Anolis sagrei: one gene and its partners. The protein of the gene in region 1 purifies or fractionates together with the protein of each later gene. This does not show direct contact. Links are inferred from orthologs where the notes say so. Each region holds a gene or a part of one and is shown on either strand. Other genes may lie near its edges.

Evidence for each region.
Region 2: the proteins of LGALS3 (region 1) and SLC12A7 purify together in Homo sapiens (affinity purification with mass spectrometry; 3 studies listed by BioGRID and IntAct, counting the BioPlex papers as one, with this or other methods). This does not show direct contact. The link is inferred for Anolis sagrei from reciprocal best matches to the Homo sapiens genes LGALS3 and SLC12A7.
Region 3: the proteins of LGALS3 (region 1) and SLC12A2 purify together in Homo sapiens (affinity purification with mass spectrometry; 3 studies listed by BioGRID and IntAct, counting the BioPlex papers as one, with this or other methods). This does not show direct contact. The link is inferred for Anolis sagrei from reciprocal best matches to the Homo sapiens genes LGALS3 and SLC12A2.
Region 4: the proteins of LGALS3 (region 1) and SLC15A4 purify together in Homo sapiens (affinity purification with mass spectrometry; 3 studies listed by BioGRID and IntAct, counting the BioPlex papers as one, with this or other methods). This does not show direct contact. The link is inferred for Anolis sagrei from reciprocal best matches to the Homo sapiens genes LGALS3 and SLC15A4.

The regions. Positions count from the first base shown.
Region 1 is NC_090021.1:336,975,357-336,982,927, forward strand, and holds the start of LGALS3 (galectin-3), read right to left. Parts: upstream 3,257-7,571; 5' UTR 3,148-3,256; intron 1-3,147. UniProt on the Homo sapiens protein: Galactose-specific lectin which binds IgE. May mediate with the alpha-3, beta-1 integrin the stimulation by CSPG4 of endothelial cells migration.
Region 2 is NC_090024.1:105,604,082-105,612,598, reverse strand, and holds the start of SLC12A7 (solute carrier family 12 member 7), read left to right. Parts: upstream 1-5,207; 5' UTR 5,208-5,417; coding exon 5,418-5,556; intron 5,557-8,517. UniProt on the Homo sapiens protein: Mediates electroneutral potassium-chloride cotransport when activated by cell swelling. May mediate K(+) uptake into Deiters' cells in the cochlea and contribute to K(+) recycling in the inner ear.
Region 3 is NC_090022.1:237,137,267-237,144,771, reverse strand, and holds the start of SLC12A2 (solute carrier family 12 member 2), read left to right. Parts: upstream 1-4,056; 5' UTR 4,057-5,189; coding exon 5,190-5,768; intron 5,769-7,505. UniProt on the Homo sapiens protein: Cation-chloride cotransporter which mediates the electroneutral transport of chloride, potassium and/or sodium ions across the membrane. Plays a vital role in the regulation of ionic balance and cell volume.
Region 4 is NC_090034.1:38,968,092-38,976,260, reverse strand, and holds the start of SLC15A4 (solute carrier family 15 member 4), read right to left. Parts: upstream 3,270-8,169; 5' UTR 2,726-3,269; coding exon 2,150-2,725; intron 1-2,149. Other genes in the region: GLT1D1 (glycosyltransferase 1 domain-containing protein 1), read left to right, coding at 5,422-5,489. UniProt on the Homo sapiens protein: Proton-coupled amino-acid transporter that mediates the transmembrane transport of L-histidine and some di- and tripeptides from inside the lysosome to the cytosol, and plays a key role in innate immune response.

The DNA of each region.
Region 1 (7,571 bases):
TGTTGCTCATGGGGTTGGATGGAAACTGTCCTCCAAAATCCCTGGCTTTATTGGAATAACAACAACAACAACAACAACAACAACAACAACAACAACAACAGAATCATTGTATCCAAGAGTTGGAAGAGACCTTATGGGCCACCCAGTCCAACCCTTTTCTGCCAAGAAGCAGGAAGATCACATTCCAACCCCTCCAGACAGATGGCCATCCAGCCTCTGCTTAAAAGCCTGCAAAGAAGGAGCCTCCACCACACTCCAGGGCAGAGAGTTCCACTGCTGAACAGCTCTCCTTATAGTTAGGGAGTTCTTCCTCTTGTTCAGGTGGGCTCTCCTTTCCTGTAGTCTGAAGCCATTTTTCCATTGTGTCCTAGTCTTCAGGGCAGCAGAAAATAAGCTTGCTCTTTCCTCCCTATGACTTCCCCTCGCCTATTTATGCCTGGCCCTCATCATGTCTCCTCTGAGTCTTCTCTTATGCAGGCTAAACATGCCCAGCTCTTTAAGCCGCTCCTCGTAGGGCTTGTTTTCCAGACCCTTGATTTTTGTGCCACCCTCCTCTGGACACATCCCAGCTTATAGTCAATGGTGCCCAGAATTGGACATAGTGTGATTCCAGGTGTGGCCTGACCAAGGCAAAATACCATGACTTCCCTTAAGGTGAACCAATCACTGGGGTTTTTATGTGTATGTAAATGGCAGGAATGTATATAGCAATGTATGTATTGGTGGAAAATCTGTTTATGGACATATGTATATATTGGTTTTTATCTATGTGTTTATGTATTAGTCTAATTTAAAAGCATGGGAAAGGGAATATTTCCTCTTCTGCACAGACATGAATGGAAAAAGGAACTCTCCCCAGTTTTAAATATTTAACAAGGAGAAAGATGACCAACAAGGTGTGGAAACTATGAATCCCAATGACAAGGGGCTTATTAGGGTGTTGGATAGGTTTACCTTGAAGAAAGGGAAGCGTGAAAGGGAAGCACGAGAGCCAGGTTTAAATATTGGAAGGGAAATCCCATTGAGGAGGAATTAGCAAGCTTGCAATGGGTTTAAAAGCAGGAAATAAGATTCACGGAAAGGCTTCTGAGCCAATCTTGCCATGAAAATACCACCTTAAGCACCAAGGATCCCCCCCCCCCCCACGCCCCACGATGATTTAATTTATGAGCTACCAATTTGGCCAGATCCCTGCAAGATGAAAGATAAGCTTTCAGCTTCATGACAAGGAAAAGTATCATCTTTGGGTTTGGCACTAAAGGATACCCCACCCTTTCCCCAAATTATGGCTGATCACCTGTCAAGTGCCAGATTCCTGCATGATGAAAGATAAGCTTTTGGCTTTGTGACAAGAAAAAGTATCACCTTTGCGTTTGGCACTAAAGGATACCGCACTCTTTCCCCAAATTATGGCCAACCACCTGTCAAGCACCAGATCTCTGCAAGAGGAAAACGATGATTTGATTTACGAACTACCAATTTGACCAGATCCCTGCAAGATGAAAGATAAGCTTTTGGCTTTGTGATAAGGAAAAGTATCACCTTTGGGTTTGGCACTAAAGGATACCCCACCCTTTCCCCCAAATTATGGCCGACCACCTGTCAAGCGTCAGATCCCTTCAAGAGGAAAACCATGATTTGATTTATGAACTACCAATTTGGCCACATCCCTGCATGATGAAAGATAAGCTTTCACCTTTGTGATAAGAAAAAGTATCATCTTCGGGTTTGGCACTAAAGGACACCCCACCCTTTCCCCAAATTATGGCCGATCACCTGTCAAGTGCCAGATCCCTGCAAGAGGAAAAGAAAGCACTTAGGTTTTGCTATAAGGAAACGCTCTCAGGATTTGTGACCAAGGAAAGACTTTTGAACGAAGTTTGCCAAGAAAATCCCATGCTTTTAGGGTTTGGCACCAAAGGGGTTGATTGAACAGCCATCAATAGCCAGATCCCTGCAAGATGAAAGATAAGCTTTCAGCTTTGTGACAAGGAAAAGTATCACCTTCAGGTTTGGCACTAAAGGACACCCCACCCTTTCCCCAAATTATGGCCAATCACCTGTCAAGCGCCAGATCCCTGCAAGAGGAAAAGAAAGCACTCAGGTTTTGCTATATGGAAACGCTCTCAGGATTTGTGACCGAGGAAAGACGTTTGAACCAAGTTTGCCAAGAAAATTCCATGCTTTAGGGTTTGGCACTAAAGGAGTCGATCGAACTATCAATTTGGCCAGATCCCTGCATGATGAAAGATAAGCTTTCAACTTTGTGACAAGGAATGGTATTACCAGGTTTGGCACTAAAGGATACCCCACCGTTTCCCAAATTATGGCTGATCACCTATTAAGTGCCAGATCCCTGCAAGAGGAAAAGAAACCACTCAGGTTTTGCTATATGGAAACGCTCTCAGGATTTGTGACCAAGGAAAGACGTTTGAACCAAGTTTGCCAAGAAAATTCCATGCTTTAGGGTTTGGCACCAAAGGGGTTGATCAATCGGCTATCAATGGCCAGATCCCTGCAAGAGGAAAGGTAAGCACCCTGGCTTTAGGACGAGATAAGACTTCGGAACCAGGAAAATCTTAAATTTTGACATAAAAGGACCTCTGTCCCACCATGGTTTTATTGATAGACCATTAATGGAAAAACACCGTAAGAGGAAAGGTAAGCTCTCAGGTTTTGTGGCTTCTTAACCAATTCTTCCAAAACAATCCCATGCTTTAGGGTTTGGCATCAAATGAGCCTATTATCCTGGTTGTGGATGGGCAGATCCTTGCAAGAGGAAAGCTAGGTTCTTAGGTTTTGTGACAAGGAAAGGCTTAGGAGCCAAGACTCCACTTGCTTCCTTTACTTTTAGGGACTTCTGTACCTTTAATGCAAGCCTGGGCAAGCTTGGGCCCTCCAGGTGTTTTGGACTTCAACTCCCACAATTCCTAACAGCCTACCGGCTGTTAGGAATTGTGGGAGTTGAAGTCCAAAACACCTGGAGGGCCCAAGCTTGCCCACGCCTGCATTAAAGGTACAAAAGTCCCTAAAAGTAGGGAAGCAAGAGGAGATTTTCCCAAGTTTTCAATCTGAAAGAATGCGACCTTTTTCGGGTTGAGAACCCAGAGGCCAAGAAGCCACCCCATTCCCTCCTTGGCTCCTTACCTGGGTGGGTCTACCTGGGTGTCTGTCACTAGTGGACGAAGAGTTCTCCTCGGTCGCCAAAGACGGGCTGAAGCAACAGGGAAAGGCTGGAGGCGCTCAAATAGCCAAGCCCCACCCGAGACCGCCCCACGCGGGACCGCCCCACCCAAGGAGGAGGTGCTCACTCAGATGCAGGGGAGGAAAAGGAGAACGAGGGGGTAAGGTGGCCTCCCTTCAGTGCCTGGTATCAAGGGGTCTCCCCTCTGCCTTTGAACCACTCAGTGGTTAGATCCCTGCAAGGGGAAAGGTAAGCCTTCAGGCTTTGAGACAAGGAGGGGCTGCTTTCTGAAACCTTTCTTCCCAGGAAATCTCAAGGAGAATGAGGGGCTAAAGTGGCCTCCCTCCAATGCCTGGTACTAAAGGGTCTCCCCTCTGCCTTTGAACCACTCAATGGTTAGATCCTTGCAAGGGGAAAGGTAAGCATTTAGGCTTTGCGACAAGGAAAAACTTCTTTCTGAATACTTTCTCCCCAGGAAGTCTCAAGGAGAATGAGGGGGTAAGGTGGCCTCCCTCCAATGCCTGGCACCTAAGGGACCTCCTTTGCCTTTGAACCACCTTATGGCTAAATCCCTGCAAGGAGAAAAGTAAGCCTTCAGGCTTCGCGACAAGGAAAGGCTTCTTTCTGAAACCTTTCTTAGCAGGAAATCTCAAAGAGAATGAGGGAGGGGAGGGTAAGGTGGCCTCCCTCCAGTGCCTGGTACCAAGGGGTCTCCCCTCTGATTTTGAACTACCTTATGGTTAGATCCCTGCAAGCGGAAATGTAAGCCTTCAGGTTTTGAGACAAGGAAAGGCTTCCTCCTGAACCCTTTCTCCCCAGGAAATCTCGAGGAAAATGAGGGGGTAAGGTGGCCTCCCTCCAATGCCTGGTACTAAAGGGTCTCACCTCTGCCTTTGAACCACTCAATGGTTAGATCCCTGCAAGGGGAAAGGTAAGCCTTCAGGCTTTGCGACAAGGAAAGACTTCTTTCTGAACCCTTTCTCCCCAGGAAATCTCAAGGACAATGAGGGGGTAAGGTGGCCTCCCTCCAATGCCTGGTACTAAAGGGTCTCCCCTCTGCCTTTGGACCACTCAATGGTTAGATCCCTGCAAGGGGAAAGGTAAGCCTTCAGGCTTTGCGGCAAGGAAAGGCTTCTTTCTGAACCCTTTCTCCCTGGGATGTCTCAAGGAGAATGAGGGGTAAGGTGGCCTCCCTCCAATGCCTGGCACCCAAGGGACCCTCTTTGCCTTTGAACCACCTTATGGCTAGATCCCTGCAAGGGGAAAGGTAAGCCTTCAGGCTTTGTGACAAGGAAAGGCTTTTTTCTGCACCCATTCTTCCCAGGAAATCTCAAGTTTGGCACCAAAACAAACTTCCCTCTGCTTGTGGCTGGTGACACTTATACAACACAATATTTGTTACTGGGCTATTAATATCATTTCCTAATTGGTTCTATCCTTAAAAACATGGACAAAGTTTATTAAATTGCCAAAACTTTGTTCTCTGCAGGAGGGACATCTTGCTGTAAGCACATTTGGCTATAGCTTTTCTATAATTAATGTCTTTCTTAATTAGTTAGGCGATCCCTCGTAGCCCGAGGATGATGGTCCTCCAAGTGGAGTGTCTTGGTGGTGGGTCCATAGGTGGCTGTGGAGCCCTATTCCTGATACGCATGTTCTTATGCAGCGAGGACATCAGTTTCCAGATGGAAGGCAGTCCCAGTCAGAGTTGGCTTGACGTGCCTTCCTCTTGGCACGTTTCTCCCTTTCGTCCTTCATTCGTGCCTTTTCGAATTCTTCGAATTGAGCGCTATAACTGGAGGTCAGCTGTGACCAGTAGTGCTGCAGAATTCGAAGAGGCATGAATGGAGAGCGAAAAGGAGAAACAGGCCAAGAGGAAGGTGCATCAAGCCAACCCTGACAGATTCATCTATCTATAAATTTGGATAAATTGTGTTGATCTATCCATTAGCCAGATCCCTCCAACAGGAAAGATAAGTCTTCAGGCTTCGTAACATGTCACATCTTGATAGGGTTTTGCACCAAAAGACCCACTCCCTCTGGTTGCGATTAATGATCTAACCCTGCAAACGCTCCAGTTTTATGACAAGGATTTCCTTCTGAACCATGTTGTTCATTCGTTCAGTCGTCTCCGACTCTTTGTGACCTCATGGACCAGCCCACGCCAGAGCTCCCTGTCGGCCGTCACCAACCCCAGCTCCTTCAAGGTCAGTCCAGTCACTTCAAGGGTGCCATCCATCCATCTTGCCCTTGATCAGCCCCTCTTCCTTTTGCCTTCCACTTTCCCCAGCATAATTGTCTTCTCTAGGCTTTGCTGACTCCTCATGATGTGGCCATAGTGGCCAATAAAAGCACTGTTGAGTTTGTTACCAAAGATTCCTCAGTACTCAAATGCTTGAAAGATGAAAGGTAAACACTCAGGCTTTTTGGCATGGAAAGGCTTCTGAGCCAATCTTGCCATGAAAATGCTGCCTTGAGCACCAAAGTACCCCCCCCCCCAAAAAAAACCCCATGGTTTGATTTATGAGCTATCAATTTAGCCAGATCCCTGCAAGATGAAAGATAAGCTTTCAGCTTTGTGACAAGAAAAAGTATCACCTTCAGGTTTGGCACTAAAGGATACCCCACTGTTTCCCAAATTATGGCTGATCACCTATTAAGCGCCAGATCCCTGCAAGAGGAAAAGAAAGCACTCAGGTTTTGCTATAAGGAAACACTCTTAGGATTTGTGACCGAAAGAAGGCTTTGGAACCAATTTTGCCAAGAAAATCCCATGCTTTTGGGGTTGATCGATCAGCCATCAATGGCCAGATCCTTGCAAGAGGAAAAGAAAGAACTCAGGTTTTGCTATAAGGAAAAGCTCAGGATTTGTGACCGAGGGAAGACTTTGGAACCAATTTTGCCAAGAAAATTCCATAGTTTAAGGTTTGGCACCAAAGAGGTTGATCGATCAGCCATCAATGGCCAGATCCCTGCAAGAGGAGAGGTAAGCATCCTGGCTTTAGAACAAGATAAGACTTTGGAAGCAAGAAAATCTTAAATTTTGACATAAAAGGACCTCTGTCCCACCAAGGTTTTATTGTTAGACCATTAATGGAAAAACACTGTAAGAGGAAAGGTAAGCTCTCAGGTTTTATGACAAGGAAAAGACTTCGGAACCAATTCTTCCAAAACAATCCCATGCTTTAGAGTTTGGCATCAAATGAGCCTATGATCCTGGTTGTGGCTGGGCAGATCCCTGCAAGAGGAAAGGTAAGTTCTTAGGTTTTGTGACAAGGAAAGACTTTGGAGCCAATCTTGCCACGAAAACTCACTTATGGTTTGGTGCAAAGGAACCCTCTTTGCCCTCTGGTTGTGGCTCATTATCAATCAATTGCCAAATCCCTGCAAGAGGAGAGATAAGCTCTCAGGATTTGTGGAAACGAAAGGCTTCTGATCTATTCTTGCTAAGAAAACTTCCTAATAGAATTGCCTCGTCCACATTGGACTAGTTTGCTTTTAAGAACCTTAGGAAGAACTTCTAACTCTATAGCAGGCCTGGGCAAGCTTGGGCCCTCCAGGTGTTTTGGACTTCAACTCCCACAGTTCCTAACAGCCCAGCGGCTGTTAGGAATTGTGGGAGTTGAAGTCCAAAAACACCTGGAGGGCCCAAGCTTGCCCAGGACTGCATTAAAGGTACAGAAGTCCCCAAAAGCAGGGAAGCAAGAGGAGTCTTCCCCAGTTTTCAATCTGCTAATTCTGAAAGAATGCGATCTTTTTCGGGTTGAGAACCCAGACTCCATTATCAATCAATGGCCAAATCCCTGGCTCATTATCGATCAATGGCCAAATCCCTGCAAGAGGAGGGATAAGCTCTCAGGATTTGTGGCAAGGAAAAGCTTCTGACATATTCTTGCTAAGAAAACTTCCTAATAGTGCTGCCTTAGGGTTTCATATCAAAGGAAACCCTCCCTTATCCTAGTTTGGGCTGGTAATCTGTCAAATGGCCAGATCCCTGCAAGAGGAAAGATAGACTCTCAGGTTTTGTGAATGAATTTTGCCATAATGTTCATTAATTTATTTATATAGATCAGTGTTTCTCAACCTGGGGGTCAGGACCCCTGGAGGGGTCACGAGGGGGTGTCAGAGGGGTCACCAAAGACCACCAGAAAACACAGTATTTTCTGTTGGTCATGGAGGTTCTGTGTAGGAAGTTTGGCCAAATTCTATTGTTGGTAGTGTTCAGAATGCTCTTGCCATGAAAATCCTGCAATCAGATCATTATAGGTTGGAAATGTTTTGAAGGCTCACAACAATTGCAAATGGCTCGGTCTGTCTATGGTGGTGGAAATGGCACTTCGTACATGCTCAGGTTCACTATGATGCAGTGCACTCTCTCCGCCTCAGA
Region 2 (8,517 bases), on another chromosome or scaffold:
TTGGGTGAGAGTATACAACCCTGTCATATGCCTTTCCCAATCTTGAACCAGTCTGTTGTTCCATGGTCAGTTCTTACTGTTGCTACTTGGTGCTTATACAGATTCCTCAAGAGAGAGACAGGGTGATTTGGTATGCCCATACCAACAAGAACTTGCCACAATTTATTGTGATCCACACACTCCCAAGAATATTTTCCATTTCCCAATTTTCTCCAAATGTATGAACCCAATATAGCTGTATTTAATGTTCACAGCACAATTCAAGTGCCTATAATGATAGTCTTTGCCATGCCTTTGCTCTTCCAAAGTGTTTACTTTTTGGAGCAAATCTTATTTCATTTGGTTTTGTGTGTGTTGTTGATGACTTGTATTTTTTGTATTTAAATTGTTCTAACACTTTTGGCATACTGGATTATATAACAGAAAAAAATAAATGAAGTACAAATTTTACAAGTAAAATATTAACAAAGACACATGCCATCTGTAAATAAACAACTGCTATATGTTAGACTTTGAGCAATCTTTGCGAATTCAAGAATGCAAACCAGGAATGACAAAACTGCTGCTGGTATTATCATCTTAACTTGGAACACTTGAAAATCTTTCAGCAGCCAAGCCAGTTTTAGAATAGCTGCTATCTTATGTTTAAAGGTTAGCTCAGTGCCTTTCATTGTATGTGCTGCTGCCCAATTTTATATTTAACAGAACATCTCTGAGTCCTACTTGGTTGCAGAAAACGAATCCTTCAAAAATAAATCAACATAATGTTAGTAGTTATTTCAAGGGAAAGGCAAGGGCTCAGTAATTGATTACAGTGATGTTACTGCTTATCGGAGTCCTTTCTGCTTGTTCTGTTTTAACCCTTCAACTCCCTTAAACTTCACTATCACTCTTTAGCATTGCTCACATTGCTGCTTATCAGTAGCACTTTTATCCCTATGTGTTGTGTACACAGCTTTCTCTTTTTCCTCTAAACAAGAGGAAAAAATCCTGAATTTTAAAGCATGAGCCCTTCACAAAGACAGAAATGTAATTTATAAATGTGGATCACATATTAATTTTACTGACAAATATAAAGCAAGGTTAAATAAAATCAATACTTTCATTTGGTATTTAGATAGAACATAAACTTTTAATTGCTATTGGTTGTCAAGCCTGCATAGCATGTTTTTTGACTGTCCGTATTGCTACTTTGAGAATCAGCCACAGGTTCCTGTATGGTACAAACAATCTTCATGCACACAGAGGAGGAATCACTGGCGATATAAGATATGGTAATGCCACAGAAAAGCCACCACAAAGTAGCAATTTATAGCCTCATCCATTGTATAAGACATGGTCAGCTCTTCATATTTAGAAGTTCTGCATCCACTGATTCAACCAACCATGGCTTGAAAATATTTGGGGGGGAAAAATCCCAACGCAAATGCCAATTTTTTTTCATGCGCTGAGAACTATGTTGATGTTCAGGCATACCCTACTGCAGCATTCAACCATTACAACTTCTTGGGCCCTCTCTGGCACTCAATTGAGTTGTTTATCATTTTACATGAAGGTTGCTATTCCGGATAATGTGAGTTGAGAATCTGTAAATGTTGGTATCCACAGATATGAATGTCATGCTACAACTCTGGAAACCAGTGTTCAGTTCCCAGTAGCTGGATGATCTTGGGCAGGTCACACACTCTCAGCCCCAGAAAAATTGTGATAGGTTCACCTTAGAGTCACCATAAATTAGAAATGACTTGAAGGCACCTGGAACCAACCCAGTGGATGCCAAGGGCTCACTGTAAATGAAATGCTGGAGTTGCATAAGGTTCATTGACTGATAGTCTTTATTATAAAATGTTGTCCAGGTGTTGGAGGGGCGTTGCCTGCCTGCTTTCTCTCTTCTCCAGCTCTGAGAAGGCTTACCTCACAATGTCTCCATGCCAATGCTCTGGCAACAATAGGCAGGCTCTCTTTGGCTGGATCTACACTGCCCTATATTCCAGGATCTGATCCCAGATTATCTGATTATCCCAGATTATCTAGCACTGTAGACTCATATAATCCAATTCAAAGCAGATAATCTGGTATCAGATCCTGGGGTATAGGGCAGTGTTGATCTTGCCTTTGTAGCTCTATCCCTCCATCATATATATTCTCCTGCCTCCATCATATATATTCTCCCACTCTTTTCTTCCTTTCTTTCCTCCTTCTCTTGCTTCCGCTCATACACTTCACTCATTCCTTTCCCTCTCTTCTTTACCCTTCCTCCCTTTTCTTCCCTTCTTTTCTCCTTTTTTCCTTCTCCTCCCTTCCTTTCCCTCCTCCTCCTCTTCCTAAGAGATAGATAACAGCAGACTCTTCCATGTGTGTTTGGATATGCTTAAAGATGCATTTTCTCTTACCCTTCTTATGCTTAAAGGTGCATTTTTCTCTTACTCTTCTTTATGTTCCAACCATAAATTAACAACAACTTGAAGGACCATAAAAAGAGGGTTCTGGAGTCAAACCCAGCACATCATATAATTATAGAGTTGGAAGAGACCCCGAGGGCCATCCAATTCAACTCTCTGCCAAGAAGCAAGAAAATTGTATTCAAAGCATCCCTGACAGATGGCCTTCCAGCCTGTTTTAAAGGCTCCAAAGGAACCTCCACCACAGAGAGTTCCACTGCTGAGCAGCTCTCACAGTTAGGAAGTTCTTGCTAAGGTTCAGGTGGAATGTCCTTTTCTGTATTTGAAGCCATTGTTCCACATCCTAGTCTCCAGGGCAGCAGAAAACATGCCTGCTCCCCCTTCCCTATGACTTCTCCTCACATATTTATACATGGTCCTCATCATTTCTCTTCTCAGCCTTCTCTTCTGCAGGCTAAACACGCCCAGCTCTTTAAGCTGCTCCTCATAAAGCTTGTTTTCCAGACCCTTGATCATTTCAGTCCTCCTCCTCTGGACACATTCCAGCATGTCAACATCTCCCTTCAATTGCAGTGCCCAATATTCCAGGTGTGGTCTGAGAGATGTTAACAAGCTGGAATGTGTCCAGAGGAGGCCGACTAAAATTATCACGGCTAAATATGCCCAGCTCTTTAATCCGCTCCTCATAGGGCTTGTTCTCCAGACCCTTGATCATTTTAGTTGCCTCCCTCTGGACACATTCCAGCTTGTCAACATCTCTCTTCAACTGTGGTGTCCAGAATTGGACACAATATTCCAGGTGTGGTCTAACCAAGGCAGAAGAGAAGGGTAGCATGACTTCCCTGGATCTAAACACTATACTCCTGTTGATGCAGGCCAAAATCCCATTGCTTTTTTAGCCGCCGCATCACATTGTTGGCTCATGTTTAACTTGTAGTCCACAAGGATTCCAAGATCTTTTTCACATGTACTGCTTTTGAGCCCCATTCTGTATCTTTGCATTTCATTTTTTTCTGCCTAAGTGGAGTATCTTGCATTTGTCCCTGTTGAACTTCATTTTGTTAGTTTTGGCCCATCTCTCTAATTTGAATTCTGTTCCTGTCTTCTGGAATATTGGCTCCAGAAGCAGTCAAAAGAGTGGAGGCACATTGTTTCTCCTCATCTAAAGAAGTTCAGGGTGCAAAAATCAGCCACTAAGGTGATGGTGAAAAACTGTAACAGTTAGGAAGTTTTTCATGGCCGGAATCACTGGGTTGTTGAAACATTCACACCTAGCTGCAGCAGACAAAAGTCCTTTGTCCCACCCTGGTCTTTCCACAGATATACAAACCCATTTCCCTACTTCCAACAGACCTCACTACCTCTGAGCATGCTTGCCATAGATGCAGGCGAAACGTCAGGAGAAAATGCCTCTAGAACATGGCCATATAGCTCGGAAAACCTACAACAACCCAGTTAGGAAGTTCTTCCTAATGCTCAGGTTTGAATCCATCATTTGTCGAGTTTGGTTCGGAGCCATCATTTGTGGAGTTCACAGCACTTTTGGGATGCGGTAATAATAATATCGAGGATAGTTTTGACAGTGTGGTCAATGAATTAGAACCAGACATCCTGAGGAGTGAGGTTGAATGGGCCTTAAGAAGCACTGCTAACAACAAGGCAGCAGGAGACGACGGGATCCCAGCTGAACTGTTTAAAATCTTAAAAGATGATGCTGTCAAGGTGATGCATGCCATATGCCAGCAAATATGGAAAACACAAGAATGGCCATCAGACTGGAAAAAATCAACTTATATCCCCATACCAAAAAAGGGAAATGCGAAAGACTGCTCAAACTTCCGTACAGTGGCCCTTATTTCTCATCCCAGTAAGGTAATGCTCAAGATCCTGCAAGGAAGACTCCAGCAATACATGGAGCGAGAGTTGCCAGATGTTCAAGCTGGGTTTAGAAAAGGCAAAGGAATGAGAGACCAGATTGCCAATATCCGCTGGATAATGGAGAAAGGCTGGGAGTTTCAGAAAAACATCTACTTCTGCTTCATTGACTATTCTAAAGCCTTTGACTGTGTGGATCATAATAAATTGTGGCAAGTTCTTGGTGGGATGGGCATCCCAAGCCACCTTGTCTCTCTCCTGAGGAATCTGTACAAGGACCAAGGAGCAACAGTCAGAACTGACCACGGAACAACAGACTGGTTCAAGATTGGGAAAGGTGTACGGCAAGGCTGCATACTCTCACCCAACCTTTTTAACTTGTATGCAGAACACATCATGCGATGTGGGGGGCTTGATGAATGCAAAGCTGGGGTGAAAATTGCTGGAAGAAACATTAACAACCTCAGATATGCAAATGACACCACTCTGATGGCCGACTGACCTTGAAGGAGCTGGGGATGGTGACGGCCGACAGGGAGCTCTGGCGTGGGGTGGTCTATGAGGTCACGAAGAGTCGGAGACGACTGAACGAATGAACAAAAATCACCCACATTGGTACATACTGATGGGGCCTGCACTCTGCACGTTCTCAGGAGTCCCCCTCAATACAAACTTTGGCTTTCAGGCATGGGTCGGGATTTGGAAGTCCAAAATACCTGGAGGGAGGAAGTCTGCCCTTGCCTGAAAGAGAGAGGGAGTCCCTTCCAGGTGTGCGACTTCTCTGAGCTCTTCATGCTTGGAGCACAGGAGAAGAATGGGCCATTCTTGTGAAACCCAGCCTCGCCATTGGAGGAGCCCATTGGCCAATGGCGCGGAGGGGGGGCCGCGCGCGAGGACTTCTCCTTCTTTGCGAAAGAAAGTCCGTGAGTCAGAGGCGTGAGTGCGGGAAGAAGGCGCGGCGGCGGTGGTGGGGCCTTCCTCCTCCTCCTCCTCTTCTTCTTCCCGCCCAGAGGGAGAGACTCCTAGACAAAGAGGGCGGGGAAGAAAAGGCCGCCCCTGTTGCCTTCCCGCCGCGGTTGCAGGAAAAGGGAAGGAAGGAAAGAAAGAAGGGCTGGCGGGCGGACTCCTGGCTCGGCCACCATGCCCACCAGCTTCACCGTGGTGCCTGTGGAGGCGCCGGAGGGAAACCCCGACGGAGAAGGAGAAGCCGACCGCGGGGAAGAGGAGGGGTCCGGCTGCGAGCGCTGCAACCGGTGGCAGCCTCGAAGGGAGAGCGGAGGTGAGTGGAGCCTGGGGGCGTGTGGTGGTGGCGGGAGGCCTTCCTGGCTTTGTTACCTCAGAGCAAGCGAGAGAGGCGCTCAGGTGGCGCGCGCCCCGTTACCTGCCGCGCGCTGCCTGCTGGGAAGGAGCACAGCCAGCCCCCCTCCCCTCCAGAGAAACGCAGGTCCGAACTTTGTTTTGTTCCCGGTCCCACAGGTGGCCTCTCCTCCGCCGAGGAGAAGGGGGCGGGGCCAAAGCCGAGGGGGCGGGGCCAGCCAACGAGGCTCAAAGGCTGGAAAGGAATCAAGCCGAGCAATAGTATGATCTCCAAGGCTTTCATGGGGCCCTTCCACACACCCATATAACCTAGAAGGCAGAAAATCTCCCAATATCTGCTTTGAACTGGGTTATTTGAGTGCTCTATACCTCAGGATCTGAACCCAGATATCTGCTTTAAGCTGGATTATATGAGTCCACACTGCCAGATAATCTGATGCCATTGTGAAAACTTTTCCATTTGAAATAGCCTTTAACAAACCACTTTATGATCCTACAGGAAATTTTAAACTGATTTTAACTTTACTATTTATAGTATGGATTATTTATCGTGTCAGGAGCGAACCAAACAGTTGTATTGTATTTTATTATTGCGTGAGCTTCTGCTTTCAGCCCTAGCTTCTGTCAGCCTAGCAGTTTGAAAACATGCAAATGTGAGTAGATCAATAGGTAACGGCGCTCCATGCGGTCATGCTGGCCACATGACCTTGGAAGTGTCTATGGACAACACCTGGCCAGGGCCGTAGCCAGAAAAAATTTTCGGGAGGGGTTGAAATTTTCGGGGGGGGGGGGGGGTTGAAATCTGCCTCCTAGCTCACGCTGAAGCAAGGAGCACAGCAGGGGGCAGAGCAGCCTTCAATAGCCTGCAGCTCCGCCCCTGTCAACCACCTCCACCAAGTCTGGCCTCCTTATTTTATTTATTTATTATTTGAATTTATGTGCTGCCACTCTCCTGGGGCTTGGAGCGGCTTACAAGAATGGCTAAAATCTAACACAATTTAAAAACAATTTAAAACAATTTAAAAACAGCAATATCAAAAAATCAAAGGCCTGTCGAAACAGATATGTCTTACATGCCCTGCGGAAATCTGATGAGTCGCCCTTGGGGGCTGAGAATTGTGGTATATAAGCGCAATAAATAAATAAATAAATAAATAAGTCCCGCAAGGCATGGACTTCAGATGGCAGAGTATTCCAGAGTGATGGTGCCACTGCTGTAAAGGCTCTGCGTCTGATTGCTATTAGACGCAAGGTCTTGACGCTGGGAATTTCCAACAAATCTTGGTCCTCAGAATGGAGGGATCTCTGGGGTTGGTAGGGGGTGAGGCGGTCTCTCAGGTACATCGGCCCCAGACCATGCAAGGCCTTAAAGGTGAGTACCATCATCTTTAATGAGAGCATTCAACCCCTCCCCCCCCCAACTTGGTTGCTTCACTACATTGGCTATTGCTGCAAGTAATGACAGTGTGAATAAATTGTCAATATTTTCTTTAGATAGTGCTTGCAGTTCTGGAGGGACTTAATTTTTTTGCATCTCATAGACTTAGCATGGGGATTTGATTAACCATTTAAAATTCATGAGTAAACCAGGTTTTTTTAAAAATATCTGAAACATTTCGGGGGGGGGTTGAACCCCTAAAACCCACCCCTCGCTACAGGCCTGACGCTGGCTCTTCGGCTTAGAAATGGAGATGAGTACCACACCCCAGAGTCAGACATGACTGGACTTAATGTCAGGGGACAACCTTTACCTACCTATCTAGCATCTCCCCAAGGACTCTATGCGGCTTACACAGGCCAAGGCCTCAATAAAACAACAGCATAACAAAAACACATAACTTAAAGCAAATCAAACAATAAAACAATAGCAGTGAACAATAAAAACAATACACCACGACACAATAAAACTAGGGCCGGGCCAAATGTAATGGGTACAGATTAAAAAGTGCTGGGTGTGATAGGTGGATGTAGGATTTTAGGGTAAGTGCAATGTGCAGACCATCTTAAAACTCTGATAAAGTGCTTCTGGGACATATTGCTGGAGTTCCTATTCTGGAAGGGGACATCAGAACAGCCAGGTCTTCAAACTCTTCCTAAAGACTGCCAACGCAGAGGCTTGTCTGATGTCTTTGGGGAGGGTGTTCCAAAGTCAGGGGGCTACCACAGACAAGGCCCTGTCCCTCGTCCCCACCAAATGCGCTTGCGACGCAGGTGGGATCGCAAGCAGGGCCTCTCCGGATGAGCGAAGAGAATGCGTGGGTTCATAAACGGAAATGTGATCACGCAGGTAGGCAAACTTGGTAATAAGGTAAAGGTAAAGGTTTTCCCCTCACATTAAGTCCAGTCATGTCCAACTCTGGGGTGTGGTGCTCATCTCCATTTCTAAGCCAAAGAGCCAGTGTTGTCCGTAGACATCTCCATGGTCATGTGGCCGGCATGACTGCATGGAACGCCGTTAGGTACCTATTGATCTCACATTTGCATGTTTTCAAACTGCTAGATTGGCAGAAGCTGGGGCTGACAGAGGGAGCTCACGCCTCTCCAAGATTCGAACCTGCGACGTTTCAGTCAACAAGCTCAGCAGCTCAGCGCTTTAACCCACTGCACCACCAGGGGCCCCTTGGCAAATTTGGTATTTATATAAATAAAAATGATGCTTGTTTATGGGATTAACATAACTCAAAAACCACTAGACGAATTGACACCAAATTTGGACACAATACACCTATCAGGTCAACAAGTGTCCATCACTCATAAAAACACTAAAAAACACAGTGGAAGGGACTTTAAAAGCAAAAAAAAATTAAAAATTACATTATAATGCATACGCAAAACCACATATATATGCAAACACACACATATACACATATACACAAATATACACACACACAAAAACACATATACACAGACTGGGCCACAGCAA
Region 3 (7,505 bases), on another chromosome or scaffold:
ATTTTTTCGAACTGCCAGGTTGGCTGGAGCAGGGCTAACAGTGGGTTAACCTGCTCCCTTGATTTGAACCACCAACTTTCAGCAACTCAGCGGTTTAAACTGTTGCGCCACCCAGGTTGGTACTCTTAACAAATTATTGACCAAGTACACACTTTATTTTTCCTTGTAACCCACCAAAGTTACTTTTGCTTTTTAAGGGGATTCTAAGCTTTCCAGGCAATAATCCCAAATGATTAAATCCATGGAAAAGGTCAATACGAAAATATTTTGGAGCAAACTGAAAACTTGTGTGGTCTTCTGGTCTTCCCAGACTTTTCTATCAACAAATAGTTTTAAAAATTAATATCATAATCTTCTGCTGTCATTTAGAAAGTAAATTCTCCTGAGTTCAGTGGTGTATATTCCCAGGAGTGTAAGGTTACAACCTAAAACAATGTGTTCATTATGAATGTACCCATGGAAAGAGACTGGAGCCCTGAACAGATGTGTCACTGCGTACACTTCCATTTCTTTAAATGAGTTCCAAACTAGGATGGGTAGGAAAGGAACACAATAAAAGAGCTGATATGATTAATACTGCACTTGAATACATCACAGATCGGGGTGGTGGTGGTAGTAGTAGTAGTAGTGTCAGGTGTAATTGGAGGACATTGAATAAAAGTAAGCAGGCACTGGAAACATAAAAAATTGTAAAACCATTCATTCATGTTTCATCTGTTGAATAACAAAGTTACAGTGATTATTTTATTTTCTAAATGTAAACACAAATGCAAGTTATAACTCTTTCATTGTCAAGTCCATTGGTAGGTTATAATAAGCAAGCATTGGCAGGCAAGCATGCCATGGATTGTCAGTAAACTGTGCATGTTCTGACTTGATTACAATATGATATTATAAACAGGCAACACATATGAAATCTAATTCTGATTGTTTTTGAATTATATTACAGTTAACAATAGTGCAAATTTTAATTCATGCTGTTGACAAAGATAGAACCAAACATTAATGAACTGATAGCAGAACATCAGGTTTATCATTCTGATTAGATTTTTTTTTAAAAAAAACTTTTAATTTAATATTACCTTCTTTAAGTGAACAGAAGCAAATTTGCATTCTTTTATCTATCTCTACTTCTACATATGTCCTACAACATAGTACAGGAAGATGTAAATAAGACACCTTGAAGCCTGAAGTTATACAATTGTGTATTAAAATCAACCTAATAACATTCATATTACACACTGTCTGCTTCATTCAGAAAAATGCTGCACTCGCAGAGCTCAGGCGGTGTTGTATTTCAGTGTCAATGTTGACTTTTGTGGAGAGGTGGCTGCCAAGGTCCACTGGCTGCCATTTATTTTCCGAGCCCAATTTAAGGTGCAGGTGCTTACCTACAAAGCCCTGAACGGTTTGGGACCACCCTACCTGCGTGACCGTATCGTTGTCTACGAACCCACACGTTCACTCCAATCATCTGGAGAGACCCTGCTCGTGATCCCGCCCGCATCACAAGCGCGCTTGGTGGGGACACGAGACAGGGCCTTCTCTGTGGTGGCCCCCCGCCTCTGGAATGCCCTCCCGAAAGACCTCAGACAAGCCCCTACATTGGCAGTCTTCAGAAAGAATTTGAAAACTTGGCTGTTCCAATGTGCCTTTTCAGACTAGGAACCCCAGTACCAAATCCCAGAAGCACTTTAGTTAGAACCAAGATCACCGCACACCGCACTTATATTATAATCCCATATCCCTCCGACACATCAGCACTTTTAACCCTGTACCCCCACTCTGGCCGGCTCAGTTTTAATAATGTCTTGTTGTACTGCTATTGTTATTGTTCTTGCTTAACTGTTTATTTGCTAGGTACTGTATTGTTGTATTGTGTGGGCTTCGGCCTGTTGTAAGCCACATCGAATCCCTTGGGAGATGCTAGCGGGGTACAAATAAAGTTATAATAATAATAATAATAAGGTAGCAGAAATGTTACACCATTAAGCTGTATTTCTGGCATTGCAGAGGGATTGGCTGGTGACTGCTGGAAGAACTGGGCGGCGGCCTTCTCATCGCCTCCACTGCTCCCCGCTTCTTCCTCAGAGGCCCCTTGGGCGCCGTTGACGCCACTGCCAGGCTGTGATGGGGCCTGATCTTCCACACTCCGCGCTGAGGCCTCACAAGCGGGAAGAAACAGAGGCCCAGCCCAGAGACATGCCCCAGGGTAAGGCCCAGCGCCTGGCTCCCCCTCCTCCCCGTGGCTCCCAAGGTAAGAAAAAACCTGTGAAACAGCAAGCCTGCAATAAGCAAACTGCGAAGTAGAGGGGGAACACTGTACATGGTCTAAGAGGTGCCAATGCTTTGATCAGGTGTGCTTCCATGATGTCTTAAGCTTGCTTTTCTGGCAGAAGTGTGTTTGTGATTCAAGTGTAGATACACCCTGGGATGTATTCCCAGCTTATACAGGGTGAGGCAGCATAACTTCCTTTTTTCAAAATTTAATAAAACCCATTGTATGAATCAGAATTTATTTATTTTTTTACAATGTCGGCGCATTCCTAATAAAATTTTTAAATGTAGTTTTGAAGATCAAATTAGGTAGGTGACGTCCCCCATTCTCCATACACTGAGTAATCCGATTTCTAGCTTTTTTCATGACTCTTGCCAGCATAGCAGGTGTTATGTTAGCAATTTCTTCCTGGATGTTGGTCTTCAAATCTTGTAGGGTCCTTGGACGGTTCACATAAACACGGAATTTCAAAAAACCCCATAGAAAAAAATCACAAGGGGCCAAATCTGGAATGGGCCGGCCACTCCAAATCCGCTCAAAAAGTAGGCCTCAACGGCAAAAGCGCGCTCCTGACTGTTCCAATGCATGATGGCGACTGAACTGTGTCAGAACAAAACTTTATAATCCCGCCTCTTGAATGAGACCACTAGAGCTCCGCTACATCTTCAACCAACTGAATGGCGCACATTTTAAAAAGGAAGTTATGCTGCCTCACCCTGTATGTGACCAACTCAGGCATGGACAAAGTTTTTGCCTTGGGCTGCATAGTGGGCCTGACCGAGAGGGTGGGTGTGCCAGGCCGGGAGAGGGCATGTGAGAGGGCGGGGCCATGAGGGGGCGGGGAAGGGCCCAGGTCAACCTCAGATTGTCCTCTTGACATAATTTTTATTTATAACCACATACACCAAAATAGAAACAAAACTACAACTGGATTGTTGTAGGTTTTTCGGGCTATATGGCCATGTTCTAGAGGCATTCTCTCCTGACGTTTCGCCTGCATCTATGGCAAGCATCCTCAGAAGTAGTGAGCCCGAAAAAACCTACAACCCAGTGATTCCGACCATGAAAGCCTTCGACAATACATAAAACCCACATTTGGGAGGCATAGCAGTTAAACTTGTATCTAACTGCATTCATTCTACAGTGTAGCTGCACCCAAGGTTTGCTCTTGGGATTTTCAAGGAATATTTTGAAACACTGGGTGCAGAATCCGTGGATACAGAGGCCTGGCTGTACATGGCTGTGAGGTAATTTTTTTTCCAATTAGGGGACATGATTCCATTTCAACCCTTGTTGAAGGTTAAGCATAAGCATCTCAGAAGAGCACATTTAGCAAGAGGTCGGTTGCCATCCTATAATAAAAGGTCTTCAGGCAGCAGCAACACGATGCTGGAGGGCCGGCCTCGAGGCACGCGCTTTGCTCGGAAGGAAGGAAGGAAAAGGAAGGAAGCTCCCGCAGGCACGAAAGAGAAAAGGAGCAACAGCTGCGCGCCTCCTCGCGAGATTTGGGCCTTGACAGTTGAAGCGGCGTCAAACTGTATTCATCCAGCAGTCTAGACTAGGCACGGGCCAGCTTCGGCCCTCCGAGTGCTTTGGACTTCAGCTCCCACAATTCCTAACAGCCTGGCTAGATGCACCCTTGAAAGCGAAGAACGATGGGTGGGAGGTGCTTCCGTCTCTTCCTGCCTCTGCCGCCGCCTCGGGCAACTCCTAGAGGCGCCGGCATCCGCTCCACTCCGCCCGGTCCAAACTCCGCCTTCCTTCTATCTCTCTTTTTCTCTCCCTCCCCTTCCCTCTCACGGCGGATGCTTTAAAGCTCCGAGCCGCCCCTAGAAGCAGGCCATTGGCTGGGCTGGCAGCCGGGCCGCGTTCTCTTTTTTGCCGGTTGTTTTTGCCTTGTATCGGGCGCCCGGCTGGGCTGTTTGTACTGAGAGAGAGAGAGAGAGAAAGAAGAAAGCCAGGGAAAGGCAGGCAGCCGCGGGAGGCACGGAAACACAAGCTAGGGCGCGCGAGCCGGGCAAGGGAAGAAGGCAGGCGAGAGGCAGGGAAACAGACTGGTGCGCGCGAGCCGTGCAAAAGGGAGGAGGCGTGAGCAAGGCAGGGAAACACAGACTAGGGCGCGCGAGCCGGGCGAGGGAAAAAGGCAGGCGAGAGGCAGGGAAACAGACTGGTGCGCGGGAGCCGTAAAAAAAAGGGAGGGAGGCGCGAGCAAGGCAGGGAAACACTCACAGAGAGGCGCGCGAGAGAGGCAGGGAAACACACAGCCTGGGGCGCGCGAGCCGGGGGAAGGAGGCGCGCGCGAGAGAGAGAGGCAGGGGAACGGAGACTGGGGTGCGCAAGCCAGGCAAAGGAGGCAGGCGCGCGCGAGAGAAGCTGGGAAACAGGCAAGGAAGGGAGGGGGGCAGGCGCGCGCGCGAGAGAGAGAGAGGAAGGGAAACACACACAAGAGACTGGGGCGCGCGAGGCAGGGAAACAGACTGCGCGCGAGGGGGCGTGACGTCACCACGTTTTTTCTCTCTCTCTCTCTCTTCCCCTCAGAGTGAAGTTAGCGCGCGCGAGGGAGGGAGAAGGAAGAAGGCGAGGCGAGCGAAAGGAGGGAGGGAGGCCGGCCTCTCTGGTTTCCCCCGCATCCTGCCTCCATTTCTCCTCAGGCGAGCGTCAAAGCGGGAGCATCCTCTCTTCCTCCCTTCTCTCTCTCTCTCCACCTGGCGCAGAGGCGGAGGGAAAGCCGAGAAAGGGGCCGGGCTTGGGCTTTTTTTCCGCTCTTGCCCGCCCTCAGAGGCGTTGTCTCCCGGAGTGCGGCATCACTAGAAACAGAAGCAGCAACGGCTGCTCCGCTTAAAGCGCCCAGGCACAGCCTTGCGCCCTTTCTCGTTCCCCTCGCGGAGCAGCCGCAGCAGCCGCAGCCAACATGGAAGGGAAGGCGCCTCACACTCCTCCTCCGGCGAGGCTCAAGGCTGCACCCGAAGCTGCCCGGGAGGACGCCGCCGCCGAGGAAGACCCTTCTGCTGCCTCTTTGGGGCGGCCCTTGGGACCCACGCCGAGCCAGAGCCGCTTCCAAGTGGACTTAGTGGCGGAAAACGCCGCCAAAGAGGGGAAGGGGAAGGAGGAAGAGGAAGCGGCGGCCCCGAGAGCGAAGAAGGACGCCAAAGGCGACGGCGAGGAAGCCAAGGGCCGGTTCCGGGTGAACTTCGTGGACCCTTCTTCGGCCGCGGACGATGGCTCGGGAGACGTCGGGATCGGGCTGGAAGGGTGCAACGTCAGCTTCCAAAACGGCGGCGACACGGTGCTGAGCGAAGGCAGCCTCCACTCGGGCTCCCATCACCACTACTACTACGACACGCACACCAACACCTACTACATGCGCACCTTCGGGCACAACACCATCGACGCCGTGCCCAGGATCGACTACTACCGGCACACGGCCGCCGGCCTGGGAGAGAAGCTCATCCGGCCCAGTCTGGCCGAGCTCCACGACGAGCTGGACAAGGTGAGAGAGACGCCGCTTTGGCCCATCCGCACAGCCACGCGTTCTCCTTTGGGACGCAGTGATGCAGGAGTGACTGCGCTGAAAGGGCCTTCTCCTGGGACCTTTTCCTTCTGTAGGGAGGCCAGGTGTTTGGGATTCAACTCCCAGGAGACTCAACAGCTGGAGGAGCCCACTTTGGGAAACGCTTGGTTGTGGAAAGGAACCCATTGGATAATGCAAGCATGGCCAACTTTGGCCCTCCATGTGTTTTGGACTTCAACTCCCACCATTCCTAACAGCCTCAGGCCCTTTCCTTTTCCCCCTCAGCCGCTTAAGCGGCTGAGGGGGAAAAGGAAGGGGCCTGAGGCTGTTAGGAATGGTGGGAGTTGAAGTCCAAAACACATGGAGGGCCAAAGTTGTCCCATGCCCTGGGCAACAGAAACCATGACACTTTCAGCGATTCCCAAACTGGTCTTCTAGGCTTCAACTCTGAGGAGATTCAACTGTCTATCTCCATTGCCATTGTTAAAGGCCCTGCTCTCGGTCCCACCACCTTTGCAGTGGGGATGAGTGACGGGGCCTTCTCAGTGGTGGCCCCTTGGCTGTGGAATTCCCTCCCTAGTGGAATTGGATTGGCCCCTTTCCCTCCTGTTGTTTCGCAAACAAGTGAAAACTCGGCTTTGGAAGCAAGCCCAATACAATTATCTGTGCAATACAGTTGGAATTGACCCTGGATTGATGAATATGATTGTCTGATTATCTGGCTTTGGCTCTATGCATAATAGTTGTCTGTCAGAGGTGCTTTGAATGCAATTTTCCTGCCTCTTGGCAGGGGGTTGGACTGCATGACCCACAAGATCTCTTCCAACTCTATGATTGTAATGTTTACATATGTTCAATGTATTGTTGAAGGCTTTCATGGCCAGAATCACTGGGCTGTTGTAGGTTTTTTGGGCTGTATGGCCATCTTCCAGAAGCATTCTCTCTTGATGTTTCTCCTGCATCTATGGGAAGCATCCTTTCACAACCTCTTCAGCAGGGGTCCTCAAACTTTTTAAATAGAGGGCCATGTCAGAGTCCCTCAAACTCTTGGAGGGCCGGATTATAATTTGAAAAAAAAACATGAATGAATTCTGCACATATCTTATTTGTAGTGCAAAAAACACTTAACAACAATACAATAATTAAAATGAAGAACAATTTTAACAAATATAGACATATTCGTATTTCAATGGGAAGTGTGGGCCTGCTTTTGGCTGATGAGATAGGATTGTTGTTGTTGTTGTGTGCTTTCAAGTCGTTTCAGACTTAGGTTGACCCTGAGCGAGGACTGTGTAAATGACCTTGGAGGGCCGTATCCGCCCCCCGGGCCTTCGTTTGAGGACCCCTGCTCTTGAGGATTCCTGCCATAGATGCAGGTGAAATGTCAGGAGATAATGCTTCTGAAACATGGCCGTACAGCCCGAAAAACCTACAACAACCCAGTTTACGTATGTTGTTTTAATTTGTAGTTTTAACTGCTTTTAATTATTGTTGTGGTTGTTCATGCATGGAATAATGCCACTCATGTAAGCTGCCCTGAGTCCCCTTTGGTGTGAGAAGGGCGGGATATAAATGTCGTCAACAGTAAATAAATAAATATTAATCTGCTTTATATGAGTCTATATAATATCAGTGGTTCTCAATCTGTGGGTCCCCAGGTATTTTGGCCTACAACTCCCAGAAATCCCAGCCAGTTTACCATCTGTTAGGATTTCT
Region 4 (8,169 bases), on another chromosome or scaffold:
GAACATAGAAGACTGGGCGACTTGGAAGGCACTGAACAGACTGCACTCTGGCACCACGAGATGCAGAGCCAATCTTAAGAAATGGGGCTACGAAGTTGAATCCACGACATGTGAATGTGGAGAAGAGCAAACCACTGACCACCTGCTGCAATGCAACCTGAGCCCTGCCACATGCATGATGGAGGACCTTCTTGCGGCAACACCAGAGGCACTCCAAGTGGCCAGATATTGGTCAAAGGACATTTAATCAGCTACCAAGTTTGCAAAATTTGTGGGTTTTTTTAAATCTGTTTGTTTGTTTTTGTTCTGTTAGAAATGTAATACAACGTTCTGGTTGCGGATGACACGATAAATAAATAAATAGCCTCCAGTTTGCTAGCAAGACTAAATGACTGTGGCCCCTTCCACACAGCTGAATAAAACCCCACATTATCTGTTTTGAACTGGGATATATGGCATTGTGGACTCAGATAACCCAGTTCAAAGCAGATATTGTGGGTTATTCTACCTTGCTATTCTGGGTTATATGGCTGTGTGGAAGGGCCCTGTGTCAACAAATGATGCTTTTCGTTATTACAATTTATGTATGCGTTTCTGTCGCGACATCATGAATGTCTAACAAGTGTGTCACCAACAGGAAATGTTTGGAAAGCTTTGATCTATGACATGTTTATCCAATTTCATCAATCCAAGTGACAGTCAGGAAATCCGTCTGCTTGACTGGTTCCCACAGCAACGTGCAATCTCATTCGAAGGGCCCTTCCAAACAGCCCTATATCCCAGAATATCAAGGCAGAAAATCCCACATTATTTGAGTGTGGGCTCAGATAACTCAGTGCAAAGCAGATATTGTGGGATTTTCCGCCTTGATATTCTGGGTTATATGGCTGTGTGGAAGGGCCCTAAGAGCAAGGCAGTGGGGGTAATACCCTATTTACTCAAATCTAATGCTCACCTTTTCGACTAAATTACCTTCCCAAATTAGAGTGTGCATTAGGTCATCATAGGGCCCTTCCACACAGCCGTACAACCCAGAACATCAAGGCAGAAAATCCCACAAGTTCTTTTTTGAATTGGGTTATCTGAGTCCACACTGCCATATATTCCAGTTCAAAGCAGAAAATGTGAGATTTTATTCAGCTGTGTGGAAGGGGCCTTAGTGCTGAGCCAATGCAAAAGGGGAAGCAGCTTCAGGAACTGCACCCAGAGCTCTTATTTGGGGAATATTATCTCTAATTTATTTGCCATGCCTCAATGTTATGTAATCCTGGGATGTGTAGTTTGGTGAGGCATTGGTCTTCTTTGGCAGAAAAGGCTCAAGACCTTGTAGAACTTCAGCTCCATGATTCCATAGCACTGAACCAGGGCAATTACAGTGGATTCTTTCCATACCATCGATGCAGCCTGAGGTTTTCTTTTCCATTTTTAGAAGTTTTGGCGTTCTAACACTTCTGTTTTTATAGAAGGAATCCTAATCAGGCAGCAACTACAACGGCCAAATGACAAAGGCCCCTTCCACACAGCTGAATAAAATCCCACATTTTCTGCTTTGAAGTGGAATATATGACAGTGTGGACTCAGGGCCCTTCCACACAGCCCTATATCCCAGAATATCAAGGCAGAAAATCCCACATTATCTGAGTGTGGACTTAGATAACCCAGTTCAAAGCAGATATTGTGGGATTTTCTATCATGATATTCTGGGATATAGAGCTGTGCGGAAGGGCCCTGGGTTATCTGAGTCCACACTGCCATATATTCTAGTTCAAAGCAGATATTGTGGGTGTTTTCTGCCTTGATATTCTGGGGGCTCTCCCACACAGCCCTATATCCCAGGATATCAGGGCAGAAAATCGCACAATATCTGCTTTGAACTGGGATATCGGAGTCCACACTCAGATGTGGGATTTTCTGCCTTTGATATTCTGGGATACAGGGCTGTGTGGAAGGGCCCTCAGACAACACACTTCAAAGAAGATATTATGGGATTTTCAGCCTTGATATTCTGGGTTATTTGGCTGTGTGGAACGGCCCAAAGACTGCACATTACATTCAGCTACAAATACTTTTTTTGGTTTCGGGGTTTCGAAAATGAAGGTGCGCATTAGATTCGATGGCGCATGAGACTTGTGGAATTGTGGTACTCAACCTGATCGGCTCCGAAGGGTGTGATGTTGGCCTTGACCGACCCGACGCTGATGCCCACAAGCACCAGGCCAATGAAGGTGGCAGCGAGGCAATAGCGGGTGGCTCCCTCCAGCTGGCACGGCGGCGATGTCACGTTGGTGTCCAGAGGTGCAGAGCAGTTCTCCACGGGCCATGGGTGCATTTCGCCGCAGAGCCACTGCCGGGTGGTGGGGAAGGCCATGGCCGGGAAGGCCAGCATCCCCAGCAGGTACAAGGCCATGCTGACCAAGATGGTGGGGAATTTGCCTAGCAGGGCATCTGCCAGCCAGCCCCCAAAGGGAGACACGAGGTAGGTGATGCCCATGAAGAGCAGCAAAGCCTGGCTGGCCTGGGCCCCCTCCCAGTTGTACGGGGTGCCATTGAGGAAGAGCACCAGGTTGCACGTGATGCCGTAGAAGGCCACCCTCTCCAGCAGCTCAGCCAGGAGCACCGCCGCACACGCCAAGCGCCGCCCGTGGAACACGGAAGAGGACCCCACAGGTGAGCGGGCCTGCTCTCCAAGGAGGGGGCTCCGCTCACTCGCCTGGGCCTCTTCCATGGGGATGATGGGTGATGAAACCCTCAAGGCTTGGCCCGGCTTCAAGGTCAAGGCGACTGAGTTACAACAACTTCCAGAAAGTATTCGAACAGACCTCCAACTTTGAGTCTCTCCTGCTGTGTCCCCAAGACCCTACTGCCCACTGTCTTGAGGGTTCTAGGAGTCAGCAACCTCCCCTTTGGCCAATCTCTGACCTTTCTCCCTCCCAGTCCACTCAACACAGATCAAACTCGTTTAGGGGTTCCAAGGCTGCCCCTTCTTAGAGTCCCAGCCCCTCCCAATGCCTCCGGGCCTCCAAACTCAGCCCAATTTTAGCTGCCCCGCCCGGGATTCGAACTCGCGGAAAAGCTGGTGGGAATCTGAATCTTCCGGGCCCTTCCTACGCGCGCGCCCCCTCCCCCTGATCTAAGTGAATCCCCGCTTTGCCTGCCGTTCCCTAGACCCTCGCTTCCTCCCTCGGGGGCAGCGGCGACGAACTTCTCTCTCTCTCTCTCTCCGCGCTTGGAATGCCCAGGTTCCCTGGAGAGCCCGCCTCCTCCGAAGCGCGGCTCCGCTCTCTGATTGGCCGCTCCGCGCGTCTTTCAAGCCCGGGAGGCTCTTCCAGGTCCAGGCCTCACGTGGTGAACAGCTGCGAAAGAGGTCCTTTGTGGAGGGGGCTGGGGAAGGGGCCAGGGCCCAAAGGGCTGCCATCACCAGCCACGGCGACCGGCCTGCTCGAGGGACACCAAACGTAGGAGGAAACTATGACTGGGAGGGCACTATATCTTCTCCTACGTTTTCTGTCCAACTACCAGGCCGGTTGCAGTGGCTTGTTTTTCCAGACAGGCCCTTTTATCCCAGGCCCCTTCCACACAGCTGAATCAAATCCCACATTAATTGCTTTGGACTGGAATATCTGGCAGTGTGGACTCCGATAACTCAGTTCAAAGCAGACATTGTGGGATTTTCTCCCTGGATAGTCTGGGTTATATGGCTTCGTGGAAGGACCCTGAAGCAGCATCTATTTATTTATGTATTTATTTACTATACTTGTATACAGCCTCTCTCAGCCCGGAGGCAACTCGAGACGGTTTACATTTGGCAATCAATGCCCCACAAGATAAAATACAGTAAAAAACAATTACATATAGTATAAACCATATAAAAAAAATTAACAATTAAAACCATAAAATACAGTTCTCAGCGTCTCATCATTAGAATCATTTTCCGTTGCATCGTCCTGTCGTTCCATGAGTCTCAATCAGTTATACTTTGTCTGCAAATGCCTGCTCAAACAGCCAGGTCTTAACTCTCTTTTGAAATGTCGGGAGGGAGGAGGCCAATCTAATGTCCCTAGGGAGGGCTTCCCATAGTCGGGGGGCCACCACTGAGAAGGCCCTTTCTCTCGTTCCCACCAATCAGATCTGCGAAGAAGGCGAGACCAAGAGCAGGGCCTCTCCAGATGATCTTAAACACCTAGATGGTTCATAGGAAGAGATGTGTTCAGACAGGTAAACTGGGCCAGAACCTTTTAGGGCTTTAAAGGCTAAAGCCAGCACTTTGAATTGTGCCTGGTAGCAAACTGGCAGCCATTGGAGTTGTGCGCTCCCTGAGTGCCGCTCCTGTTAACAACCTGGCTGCTGTCCGTTGGACCAACTGAAGCTTCTGAACAGTCTTCAAAGGCAGCCCCACCTAGAGAGCATTGCAGTAGTCTATACAGGATGTAACGAGAGCATGGACTACCATGGCCAATTCAGACTTCCCAAGGTATGGGCGCAGCTGGTGCACAAGTTTTACTGTGTGAATGCTCCCCTGATCACCGCCAAAACCTGGGGTTCCAAGCTCAGCGATGAGTCCAGGATCACATCCAAGCTGCAAACCTGCATCTTCAGGGGGAGTGTAACCCCATCCAACATAGGCATCTATTCTATATTTCAGCAGTTGTCCAGTATCTTATGCCTTTCTTCTCACCTCCTTCCTGATAGTATTTACTTGGAAATGTCAGGGATCAAACCCAGGTCTACCTGCCTCCAAATCAAGTTCTCTACCTGGGGTGGAACTTGTGACTTCCAGAAGTTTCACACGTTAGTCCCAGAAGCCCCACCCAATGGTGTGGGATGGCGGGGGTGTTGTCCAAAGGATCCAGAGGACAAAATGGTCCACAGTTCCCTTACTGATTATTCAGTTCCCTGTGATCAATTGCCGCTCCACTTTCTCTGCCATTGATGTCCCTCCATGTCAATAATATTGCCCAACATGGGTCTCCACCCCATCCGTGTGAGATTACTCATATTCTGACATGTGAAAAGACAAGGCTACAACCTCAGCAGTTATTTTTCTATGTTCACAGAGTTGTTTTTGAACCCCATCTGAAGCTGGAATGGTTTAACCAAGCGCCCTTCCACACAGCCCTGTATGCCAGAATATCAAGGCAGAAAATCCCACATTATCTGCTTTGAACTGGAATATATGGCACTGTGGACTCAGATAACCCAGGGCTGGTTGGTTAGAGTCGGAACGACCTTTCCTGGGCTTTGTTTCAGCGGGGAGGCGGCTGGCGGGTTGGACGACAGCGTCCGTGGTTGCCATGGCTGCAGACGCGGCGCCCTACCCACAACCCTTTGAGCCGACAGGTGGCTTCCGGCGCCGCTGAAAAGGGGGAAAGAAGGTCACGCGACGCCGCCCGGAAGTAGGGCAAGAGGTGCAGGGACAGAGCTATGCGCGTGTTACTCCTGGCCAGTTTGCGAGCCCGGACGGGGAATGGCACCACCGCTCAGAGGATCCAGTAAGTGCCATCCTGGCTGAAGGCAGCGGTTCTCCGTTCAGCTCAGCAGCCTAAGTCCCATCTCAAAGTCCTAGCGTTGGAGGAGACCCCAAAGGGCCATACAGTCCATCCCCTTCTGCCAGGCAGGAAAAGCACAATCCAAGCACCGACAGGTGGCCATCCAGCTTCTGCTTAATCACATCCAAAGAAGGACTCCGAGGCAGAGAGTTCCACTGTTGAACAGCTCTTCTCACAGTCAGGATGTTCTTCCTAATGTTCACGTGGAATCTCCTTCACTGTCGTTGGAACTCTCGGCTCCATTGAGTCCTAGGGCCCTTCCACACAACCCTATATCCCAGAATATCAAGGCAGAAAATCCCACAATATATGCTTTGAACTGGGTTATCTGAGTCCACACTCAGATAATGTGGGATTTTCTGCTTTGATATGCTGGGATATAGGGCTGTGTAGAAGGGCCCTAGGGCCCTGTCCACACAACCAAAGGTAAAGTTAAAGGTTTTCCCCTGACATTAAGACCATGTCCAACTGGGGTTTGGTGCTCATCTCCATTTCTAAGCCGAAGAGCTGATGTTGTCCGTAGACACCCCCAAGATCATGTGGCCGGCATGACTGCATGGCATGCCGTTACCTTCCTGCTGGAGCAGTACCTATTGATCTCACATTTGCATGTTTTCGAACTGCTAGGCTGGCAGAAGTTGGGGCTAACAGTGGGAGCTCACGCTGCCTCTTGAATTCGAACCTGCGACCTTTTGGTCAGCAAGTTCAGCAGCTGAGCGCTTTAACCCATTGCTCCACCGGGGGCTCCTCCACACAGCCATATAACCAAAAATATCAAAGCAGAAAATGCCATAATATCTGCTTTGAACCGGAATATATGGCAGTGTGGGCTCAGATAACCCAGTTCAAAGCAGACATTGTGAGATTTTATACAGCTCTGTGGAAGGTGCCATAGGGGCAGTGTGGAAGGGTCCAGTGTGGAATCAGGGCCCTTCCATAACAACAACAACAACAATTTTTATACCCCGCTTCCATCTCCCTGAAGGGACTCAGGGTGGCATACATAGGGACAATCCCAGAAAAACATAGGTTAAAACATGACGCAATAAAATAAAATAAAAAATAAAATCAAAATAAACCAAAATAAAATAAACACTTCATCTCCCAGAAATCCTAACAGCTGGTAAACTGGCTGGAATTTCTGAGAGTTGTACGCCAAAACACCTTGGGACCCACAGGTTGAGAACTCCTGGTCTAGATCAAGGGAAGTCATGGTGCCCCTCTCTTCTGCTTTGGTCAGATCTCACCTGGAATAACAACCCAATTCTGTGTGAAGCAATTCAGGAAGGATATGGACAAGATGGAATGTAATTCTTTGAGTTTAAGACTCGGGGGGGGGGGGGTGTTCTTATAATGAAGGTTCCATTAATTCCGACCAGAAAGAAAGTAAAGTTTACTTTTCTCTCCATCTGTTGCCCTTGTATAAGATGGTTTTGCATGTTTAGTCCTTAATATTTGATAAGATTATGAGAGCTCTTCAACAGTGGAACTCTTTGCCTCAGAGTCTGGCGGAGGCTCCTTCTTTAGAGACTTTTAAGCAGAAGCTGGATAGCTGTCTGTTGGGGGTGCTTTGATAGTGCTTTTACTGGATAGCAGGGAGCTGGTCTAGATAGCCCATGTGGTCTCTTCCAACTCTATGATTCTAAAAGGAGTCCTTAAATGTACTCCTGTGAGGAGGAATTTGAGGAAGTTACTACTGAAAGGTCTCACTCTTATCTTAAGAGTGGGTTTGCATGCAGATCTTTGTAGCAAGCCCATACAAGAGCAGGAAGTGTTTTAAATAGCTTGGTTACAAAGTATTTAATGCAGTTAATACTTGCAGAAAGTATTTAAAACAGCCTAGTTACAAAGTCAAGAATGATTGACAACTGGAAAATAGAGGGAGAAAATGTGGAGGCCGTGACAGACTTTGTATTTCTAGGTGCAAAGATTACTGCAGATGCAGACTGTGGCCAGGAAATCAGAAGACACTTACTTCTTGGGAGGAGAGCAATGTCCAATCTCGATAAAATAGTAAAGAGTAGAGACATCACACTGGCAACAAAGATCCGCCTAGTCAAAGCCATGGCATTCCCTGTAGTAACCTACGGATGTGAGAGCTGGACCTTAGGGAAGGCTGAGCGAAGGAAGATAGATGCTTTTGAACTGTGGTGTTGGAGGAAAGTTCTGAGAGTGCCTTGGAATGCGAGAAGATCCAACCAGTCCATCCTCCAGGAAATAAAGCCCGACTGCTCATTGGAGGGAAGGATACTAGAGACAAAGTTGAAGTACTTTGGCCACATCATGAGGAGACAGCAAAACCTAGAGAAGACAATTATGCTGGGGAAAGTGGAAGGTAAAAGGAAGAGAGGCCGACCAAGGGCAAGATGGATGGATGGCATCCTTGAAGTGACTGGACTGACCTTGAAGGAGCTGGGGGTGGTGACGGCCGCCAGGGAGCTCTGGCGTGGGCTGGTCCATGAGGTCACGAAGAGTCGGAGACGACTGAACGAATGAACAACAACAAACAAGTTACAAAGTATTTATGGCATCAAAGTAACTATTTTGTAACCAAACTGCTTAAAATGTTTTCTGTAAAGTATGAAGCACCAGTGTCATCCTGGAAATTCTGCAGCCTCGCTTC